Schizosaccharomyces pombe: one gene and its partner. The gene in region 1 interacts genetically with each later gene. Each region holds a gene or a part of one and is shown in the gene's direction. Other genes may lie near its edges.

Region 1 (5,216 bases):
ATTTTATAAGATACAGAAAATTTATTCGATATCAAAATTATATAAAAATTGAGCAACTTATGAAAGCATATGTACTATACGTTGAATAAAACCACAATAAAAGAGTGTATAAAGGCATAGAAAAAATAAAATAAAATCATATAGTTAATTGATTGTCTAAAGAATGTAATTTATACGGGAGGCAAGATAGACGTTTGACATTATGTATTAGAAATGAAGGACCATAAAAGATGATAGTATGGTTCACTAGCAAACAAACCCAAATGATAATTGGGTATCAAGTTTCGTTATATTTTAACATTATCTCTAACGTTTGCGAGAGCTGGTAGCCGCCTTTAGTCGTTCGATTTCAAGTTCAATTTGTTTTATTTGAACATGCTGAGCTTCCAAATCTTTATTTAATGAGTCGCGTTCGGCAATCAAGCGTTGTTCCCATTGTCGAAATCGAGTTTCTTCTACGCGCACTTGTTCTGTAAATCTTTTTCTCAAATTTTCTTCTTCTTCCTTAAATTTCGCATTATCAATAGTCCGCAGTTTAGGTTCTCCATACTGGCGAACTTTCATCTGCTCTTGTCGATATTGCTCATACAACTTTTCTTCAGTAGTTTGAATCAAATCAAGCATACAACTCCGAATTAAAATATTCCTAAGCTGTTTAAAGTCGCAGTGTTCTTCGTTCTCAATTTCAACAATTCCCCATGGGTATTCTCTACCCTTAACGACCCTACCATCAGGAGTACGGATGTCATCTTCGCTTCCAACAATCGCGAATGGCATGCAATTAATGATTCCTTGAATTTGTCTGTGAAAAACGGGATCGCCCTCATCCATATTAGGTTTATAAACATTGACTTGATGGTATTCTAAAACTTGAGAAATTCTAGTTTTATACAGAGCTAAATCCCTTCGAGTATACATATCGGCTTTAGCTATGACAGGAATTAAATTGACACGCTTAGAAATATGTTTCATAGCCTCCAAATCCATAGGCCGAACACCATTTCTTACGGGACGCAAAAAATATAGGCAAGCATGAATACGCATATCAATGATCTTACGACGATCTGGCTGCTGATCTTGTCTCATGTACGATTCATGCTGGTCTTCTATAAATTCAACTACCGACTCCCAACATCCTGAATTATTGATAAAATCCCCAAAACCAGGGGTATCAATTACTGTCAACCTTAAGTGGAAATTTTTTTCTTCTAACTCAGCTTTTGTAATCTCTATTTCGACCGTTTTCTCAGCATGCTTCGCACGAACCTTTTCCGGGCCCATATGTGATTTAATTGTTGTTGAAAAGAGTGTATTACAAAATGTTGTTTTACCAAGACCCGACTCTCCACAAAGCATCAAAGTGAAAGCTACACCATTTCGTGAAACTATTTTGTGACGCTGATTAGGTAAATCCGCAATTCCAACGAAGTTTGTCTCTTCTTCATTCATGACGCGCAGAGATGAATAGTATATTTCCTTTGTTTAACGGTCTGTAAAATATTGACTTAAAAGCTTCCAAACTAAATAAAAAAGTTTCCAAAAAATGCAAGAGAATTGTTATTAGTTTTATTAAAGCATAAATGGTAAAAAACGGAAGGTCTAAGTAAATAGATAATCGAAGCTTCGTTGCAATCACTCGTTAGCGATATAACTATATGATCACTATACCTCATTATATTTTTAACGGGCTTTCGTCTCGTAAATATACTAACTATCATTACTAGTTTGCTCATTAAATTTCATAAAGATTCTGAATGCCAGAAATTATGCTTGGCAAATATATAAAAACCTCTATACTACGTAACAGAAATAGATTGCTGGGAAGTATGCATTTAAGTTATTGATTTAATGTTCATTATATTGTTCAAGAAAATAGTTACTACACAGGTAATATGATGATCAAAATCGTTGTTTTAGTTGATATACAAGTACTAACTTGTTGCAGTGTAAAGTTAATTCGTGGCAGCATAGTAATTAACGGCAGCATTGATAGCATTTTCTAAATTATTTAACGAATTTTACGTTCGTAGCTTTGAGAGTTAATGTGAGATATCGTTATTAATATTTAACTAATGAAACATGGCTACACTAAACAAATGTTAACTAAAATAATAGCATAGTGGGCGTAGGGATAGGTTAACCATAATATCTTGAAAAGACTAAAAAAATTTATCTCAACACATTAGTTTTAAAAACTTCTTTACTTCAGTCTTGTATGATTTAAAATTACAGATTTGAGCGGATCTTCATATACTTCACACTGACTTATTTTATTAACTCTTCAATAATCGTGAATGCACCCGGTAATTTAGACCAACGAAAAATTAAGTCCCAATTTTTCTTTGGCTAATTATATTGATTTGTTAAAACGCAATTAAATAACACTACCTTCTAATTTTTCGTAATACATATATATATATATATATTATATGTTTTTTTGAAATTTATAATGGTATTTGCAGACTATAAACAACGTGTTGAAAATGGCGATTTGGCAGTAGCTTGGATTGGTAGGAACAAGTTGATTCCTTTACATATAGAAGCTGAAAAAACATTTCATAATCAATATGGTGCCTTCCCACATTCCGAAATGATTGGTAAAAGGTACGGCGAGCAAATTGCATCTACAGCGAAGCAAGGATTTATTTACCTTCTTCAACCAACTCCGGAACTATGGACCCTCGCTCTTCCTCACAGAACACAAATTGTTTACACTCCAGATATTGCTTTAATCCACCAAAAGCTTCGTATCACTTACGGAACCCGAGTAATAGAAGCTGGTACTGGTAGTGCTAGCATGTCACACGCAATATCGCGAACAGTCGGCCCTCTTGGAAGATTATTTACTTTCGAATATCACGCAACTCGCTATCAAACAGCGTTACAAGAATTTCGGGAACACGAGATGTTAATTGATGTGGGTGGAAATACTCATCTAACTCATAGAGATGTCTGCAAAGATGGTTTTTTGGATACGGAGGTAAAGGTTGACGCTATATTTTTAGACCTTCCAGCTCCCTGGGAAGCAATACCGCATCTTTCGAATCATGTAAATCATGATAAAAGCACTCGAATTTGTTGTTTTTCTCCTTGTATAGAACAAATTCAACATTCTGCTGAAGCACTACGAGAACTTGGCTGGTGTGATATTGAAATGATTGAAGTTGATTATAAGCAATGGGCTGCTCGTAAGAGTCGAATTGTTCATATTGACGAAGCAATCGATAGGCTAAAAGAGGTTAAAAGAAGGAGGATCGAAGGATTTGAGAGAAGAAAAATGAGGCGTGAACAAAACTTATCTTCTGATGCGAAGGTAGAAGATCAAGATAACGATTCAATGCTTGGTGAAAACAAGTCTTCTGTGTCCACAGAAACGGCGTTAAAGCCCGTTACTAACAAACGCATTAGAGAAGGTGATGGAAATTACGAATGGACAGATGTTGCAAGAGTTGATTCTAACTTAAAATCACACACCAGTTATTTGCTATTTGCGGTGCATTTGCCATCTCAGCTAGATAAACAGAACCAGGAGACAGGCCCTTAGATAACTTTCATATTTATGCAAAACAGAAATTTAGTGAAAATAGGCCGAAGTACTCCAAAGGACACACAGGCACGGTAAATGACATACAGGGTACAAAAAATAATATTAACGCGTCAAACATTCAAAACTTGTTATTATAAAAACGTAACTACCCAAATTGAGATCGAGTATAATGTCATAGAATTATTGACTTATGTGCTTTTTACTCTCGGAGCCGTCAGGAGAAGCTGAGCGTTTACGGCTCAACTTGTCCTGAATTTCAGTTTCCTGAGATAGTCTATCTACCTTTCTTTTCAGTTCCAGTAGCGAAACGATTGAGTTTTGTAGCTCAACGAACTTCTCAAAGTTTTTAGCTGTCGGCATAATCAGCCTTGAAGAAACTCCTAGTTCAGTCATAACTGACGAAACTCTCTGCGATAAAGAAGCCTTTATGGCAGGGATTTTTTGGGAACGAACAAAAGTGCCCGGATGTAGTTTTTCGTGCCAAGTGATGCCAAATTGTGGATCTGTCGGTTGCGGACCGTATCTGATTCTTGGTGTGCTGAGAGCATGTGGACGAGTAGGGGTATTTAAAACACTAGACACTCCAGAAGAAGGGGCTGAAGAAGATACAATAGCTTCCTCCACTTTATTTTTGGTTCTTTGAGAATTAATCATATCTTGAATTAAACTGCTCATTCCAGCACTTGTGTGATATTCATGAATGCCACCATCTCCTTTCTGTTCATCTAATAGACGGAGAACTTCGTCTCTATCACTTAATAATTTAGCCTGTGATGTTTCAATACGTTTTAATTCAATAAATAAAGCTTCTTCTTCTGCAACTTCTTCAGGCGTCCTAGAAGCAAGCCCAATTAGATACTTCTTCCGAATAACTTCTTGCTCTTTATTGTACTCCATCGTATTCAACAAAGAGCTCTGTGCAGCAGTCATTGAATTAATGGGATTCCTGGCTAATAGAATTTTTCGCGACACAGAATAAAATCTGTCTTTTAAATCTTCAAGCGTTCGATGTTTTTTATATTTTTCATTATCATAACGATCTGCTATTACAAAGAACCTCAAGTCATAATCTTTGCATAAACGGAATAGGTAGTCGGTTTCATCTTTATTCCAATCCTCATCTACAACAAATTAGTTAATGAAATATAGTAGAGAATCTCAACCTTTTAAATAATTTTGGTACTCTTCGTCGGTGTAGTCAATTATAAACAGAGGGACGTTAAATTTTTCAAATTTGTATGCTACACAGTTTAGGTTAGTTTAACCAAGCGCTTATCAAATAAAATTTCAAACATACAGGCTTCAGAATCTACTTCTGATTTAAGGACCCAATGATGCAAAGTAAAATCATCCTTACGGCTTGATATGGAAAAGGGCTGGCGTACCCTACAAATTAGTAAATTCCTTACTGAATACACAAATTTATTTATTTGAGCTCTGATTTACTCACCAATTTTTAGCTTTGTGACTAACTTTTGGTTTTTCCTTAAATTTCTTTTGGTATATTGCTAACGGGGCAGAATTCTCGCCTAGCAATGAATAAAGTTCTCGAGAAATTCCTTCTGGCCTTCTCTCTGTTGGAGTTTTAGATTTCTGCTTATTTCCTATTTCAGGAGGAGGTAATTCAAAGACATCCCGAATGTCAGCACTAGTCATTGTATTTTGAACT
Region 2 (4,587 bases), on another chromosome or scaffold:
GTGAGCAATTCGTACATGCGATAGCCTGAGGCGAAAGCTGTCGAACCTAATGGAACAGGCATCTCATGGCCAGACTTATCATCATATCGAAGAGTTTGGGTGCCTTGTGGAGCATTAACGGCGAGAAGGGTAGTGACTACAGGAGGGTTATAGTCATAAAGGGCAGCATCGATATGCCAACGATAAAAACGGGTGACTTGTTTTTCTTTTTCTTCCTCCTCAGAAATGGGATCACGATGGAAAGTTCGATGATGAGGATGTTTAAGTCGGACCTCTTCAAGACCGTAATGATCCTTCACAACACCATGACCAATGAGTTGTACTTGAGGAACACCGGGAAGGGTGTGCAAATCGGGATGTAAGATGCTGTTGTTTTGCTGATTTGTACGATTGCCGTGACCATAGGTAGAAGACTCGGGATCAAAGCGATGGGTGATAGCGTACTGAGTCTCTGGGGGTAAATTGTGTTGATTGGGGAAACAAACCACTTGATGTTCGAAAAGAGCCTTACGGATATCTTCGAATTGTTCATCCGAGAGGTTATTCAAGTCAACATTTTCGATCAAAGCACCAAATCCAACATCAGTATTGTGTTCCGGCAATGGAACAGGGGAAACACGAAGACCTTGAGAAGTGGTATAAGCAGTAAATGGTGGCTCGGTAGCACCAGTCAAAGTGGTGGTAGGAGGTTCCACAACCGTAGTAGTAGCAGTGGCAGACATGATTGAACGAAGAATTTAAAGAAAAGTTGGTAAGAAACAAGATGGGTTCTCTTACGAAACGAGTAATAAAGGAGGATTGAAAAAAAAATATGAGAAAAAAGGTATTCTTGATAACCTTAAAAACGTTTAAACTAGTAGAGTTCAACTTTGGACAAGTAGAGGAGCAAAAGTCGAAAATTCACAACAATCGTTTCGTTTATTGATAACAATGGCGTAGAGTGGTTTTCGAATGTTTGTTTCTTTTCGAAAATCTATAACAATGGATTATAGCAACACACGATGGGTATTGGCTGTTCAAAACGAAATTAAACTAAGATTTGAAAGGAAATTTACACAAGTCAATAATGCACAATGCTATCGGAGCAAGTAAACAAGCTGGGACAGCGAGAAAAGTTACGAATATTTAGTTGTTTTTACGGAGAGTAGCAGTAATTGAAGACTTTACGTAGATGTTGTATCACCCAGGTATTATTATGAACTTCAATTCAAATCAATTGTAGCAGAAGCACAAGACGAACAATGGTCAGTGTGATTCTCTTCAGTGAGTTTTTCTTTTGATTTGATGAGACAACATGGTATTCACATCAACCTTTTATACCATGGAACCTCCAATCCTCATTACTCCTGGGCCATGTAATTTTGCTCATTATCACTTCTACCGCATACCTCTCTATCAACATAGATAAGATTGCTGAAATTACATTGAGTAGGAAATGTACGCTAAGTGAGTTTGCCGATGCTCTAAATTCGAGTGAGCGGCATGGCAAAAACAAGCATTTGCCAACCTTCGGTATATCGGACTGAGCACCACTGAGTAAGACTGAGCTGCTACGAAACGGAGAATACATGTTGTTAAACAATTCTAATGAAATGTAAAGAAACCATCGATTTGGCGTCTGCACATCAAGTCTTGTTTGGTAAAGGTCATTGGAAGAAGTAGGCATCGATAGGGGGAATACCCAAGTCGCACCCGTCCGTCTAGGTGATGACTTAAATTGAGGTTTGAGGGGAATTCATTAAGACAATCGGCGGAAATTTCTTGACCAGAAGACTAAGCACCGATGTTCTGGAGTGCGATTTTTAGTGGGACAGGGTGCGAGTTGGAACGGGCTTCGGACTCGAGTTTGCAAGTGTAGAACGAGTGGGAAAGAATCGGTAAAAGAGTAAAGTGGGAGATAGTGCATATAGAAGATTTAACGTTTTGCAGGTAAATGAGAATATTTCAATTACATAATCCTAACAGCGCTAGTAGTAAGTCTGGTGGTTAGTGGTGCTTGTGCTTTGCTTGACCAACATTCCAAAGGCAGCTCAAGTATAGCATAGCAATCCAACATTGTCCTACAAACTTTTCAATCACCTATACTATCAGTACCATCGTTGCTGCTACTCACTGACGCTGTTTACTAGTCATCAGTCTCATCTCCTCTTCGGGTCCGACTGTGTTCATTATCAGAGTGCACATTGAACAACTTGGAAACGGAGTTTCCAAGTTTACTCAAACAACCCCTTACACTTGATTTGCGTCTTATCAATTCTGTAGACAATTTCAATTGCAGTCTACAGCAGCTTGAAACAGCATTTTTAGTCATCAACCTTGAAATAGATTGTCTAGTCGAGTCTAGTCTACTAAGAGTAAATAAGCAAAAACCAAACAAACGATCAAATCTATTTTAGTCATTACTTGTTAAAAATATTTTTCGTTTTTCAAGCCATTTTGTTGGAAACTCGATTTTCTACACTTTATAATAAATTGTGACACTGGTTTTTCAATTTTAGTTTTTGACAAACAGTTTAGAAAAAAGGTTTATTTTCCAATAAACTGTATTATTTTTTGTGTCTCTGTAAATTCAGCTTCAACATTCTCTTTTACTTTTTTTTTTTCTACTATTTCCCCTTTGCTTGCTCTTTTTCTTACTATTTTCTCTTCGCTTTCTCTTCTCTACCTTCTTTCTCTTCGTCTCTTACCTTTCTATTTTCTCTCATCATGCCTACCATTCTCGTCATCAATCCAAACTCTTCCACCTTCATCACAACATCCATGGAAGAAAAACTCGTTCCCCTAGTGCCTTCAGATGTAAAGTTGCGCTTTCTAACTTGTCCTCAACCCGGTGCTGCTGTCATCGACTCCATCACAGAGGCAACCTTGACAGCTGCTCTAGTCTTCCAAGCCCTAACTCCTAGTGTCTTGGATGGTGTCGATGCTATAGCTGTTGCCTGTTATTCCCCCACTCCTCTAGTCGACATGATTCGTGAGTCATTTGCTTTACCCTGCATGGGCATTGTGCAAGCGTCTGTCCTCAGTGCCTTATCGGTTGGTCAGCGCATCGGCATCCTTACAAGTACATATCGTTCCGAATGTTTGCTTTACGAATTACTCGATTCTTTTGGTGTTTCGCGCACTCGAGTGGCCGCCATTGCTTCTACAGGTCGCACAGTTTTGCAACTTTCGCAAATGCCTTCACAAGAGCGTGAAACCCTTCTTGTCCAAAAGGCCCAAGAACTGGCAAACACAAAGGGTGCAGATGTCATTTGTTTAGGTGGTGCTGCTTTAGCAGCTATTCGTGATCAGATTCAGGTTGCCGTAGGTCCCAATATTCCCATCATTGATGGTGTACATGCGGCTGTTGAGTTACTTGCTGGCCTAGCTCGTCAAAATCTTCATACATCAAAGTTTGGCATCTATACGTATCCATAAAGAGATGTCCATATGTTTTTAGATCTAGCAAACCAGTTTGATGCTGCTATATCACATACACACACATAATAATGTGTACGACAAAGGTTGATATTCCTGGATACGTATACATTTTCTCTTGATTTATATCAATAATTACATACCTATCTATAACGTGATAATTACAACCATTACCTCTTGATACATTCTTTTCTGTCATTGTTTACAAAGCGTATTGACACATTGGTTTCATAAGAATAACTTTTCACTGTATGCCCAGTGTGTTGGATACAAGCAGATTTACAAACATCCTTTTAAAAAATCATTTTGGGAAGCAGTCAATCTCGTTTATACTGTTGTATTTCTTTACATTCGCCTTTTTCCAGTCTTCTTCAGTTTAGAAACATTGGAAGGCTGTGAATGAGCTATATGGTACGAGGCAAAGTAAAATATTATTTTACTAATAATAAAAAATAAAATGCGACTACAATTAAAATTTCTATTTTATGTATCTCTATCCATTTATATTGACTTGAATGAACTGAAAACCTATTCTTCTTTATATCTCGAAAATTCTCGTTATGTCAGCAATACTACACTACGCTATGCTACACTACGTTGCGTATCACTATATGTCATATGTTGGAATACTAGCTAAGATCCGTTTATTGATAATCACGGGTAACTATCCTTCTATATACATAGATACCCGTTGATACAAGTATTTAGAAATATTATAAATAGCGTTACAACTGAACCTCGTTCCTCAGTTCAGTTATGAGCTATATTAGTGATAGGTAACATTATAACCCAGTTAATACAATACCTATACTCAGTTGCTACTTATACAACCTGTGTATTGTAATATAATAGACCACAAGGAAAACTCACCGCAGTTCTACGTATCCTTAAATCAGATACCAAACTGCGTAGCTTACATGTTATCGCAACGAGCGTAACTCGTTTAACTCCCTTTGGGCCTGATAAGGAAGATGCGGGTGAAGGGAGTGAAATCCACGGACTAACCTTCTTTTAACCACCGAAGTCTACCCCAGATAATCTGAGGTAGCAAGTCACTTGGTATGTCAGTGCGTGTCGGTGCGTTACAAAACGATAGACGCAAAGCAAAACAATGAGAGGATTTAATTTTTTTAGGTTCCATTTTCTTGGTATAAACTAAAACATAGGTTG

What was found. A genetic interaction does not mean that the proteins touch.
Region 2: mutations in trm61 (region 1) and SPOM_SPCC576.02 together harm fitness less than expected from each alone (positive genetic interaction), as found in Schizosaccharomyces pombe (one large-scale study listed by BioGRID).

What each region holds. Positions count from the first base shown.
Region 1 is NC_003424.3:1,991,481-1,996,696, forward strand, and holds trm61 (tRNA (m1A) methyltransferase complex catalytic subunit Trm61), read left to right. Parts: upstream 1-2,176; 5' UTR 2,177-2,449; coding exon 2,450-3,544; 3' UTR 3,545-3,727; coding exon of another isoform or gene 3,728-4,668; 3' UTR 4,669-4,710; downstream 4,711-5,216. Other genes in the region: mitotic septin Spn4, read right to left, coding at 307-1,449; Swr1 complex/NuA4 histone acetyltransferase complex subunit Swc4, read right to left, coding at 3,728-4,668, 4,711-4,788, 4,845-4,933, 4,998-5,203. UniProt on the Schizosaccharomyces pombe protein: Catalytic subunit of tRNA (adenine-N(1)-)-methyltransferase, which catalyzes the formation of N(1)-methyladenine at position 58 (m1A58) in initiator methionyl-tRNA.
Region 2 is NC_003421.2:2,079,941-2,084,527, forward strand, and holds SPOM_SPCC576.02 (hydantoin racemase family protein), read left to right. Parts: upstream 1-1,766; 5' UTR 1,767-1,929; intron 1,930-1,971; 5' UTR 1,972-2,706; coding exon 2,707-3,417; 3' UTR 3,418-4,087; downstream 4,088-4,587. Other genes in the region: alpha-ketoglutarate-dependent xanthine dioxygenase Xan1, read right to left, coding at 1-722; SPOM_SPCC576.19C (uncharacterized protein), read right to left, coding at 1,307-1,666.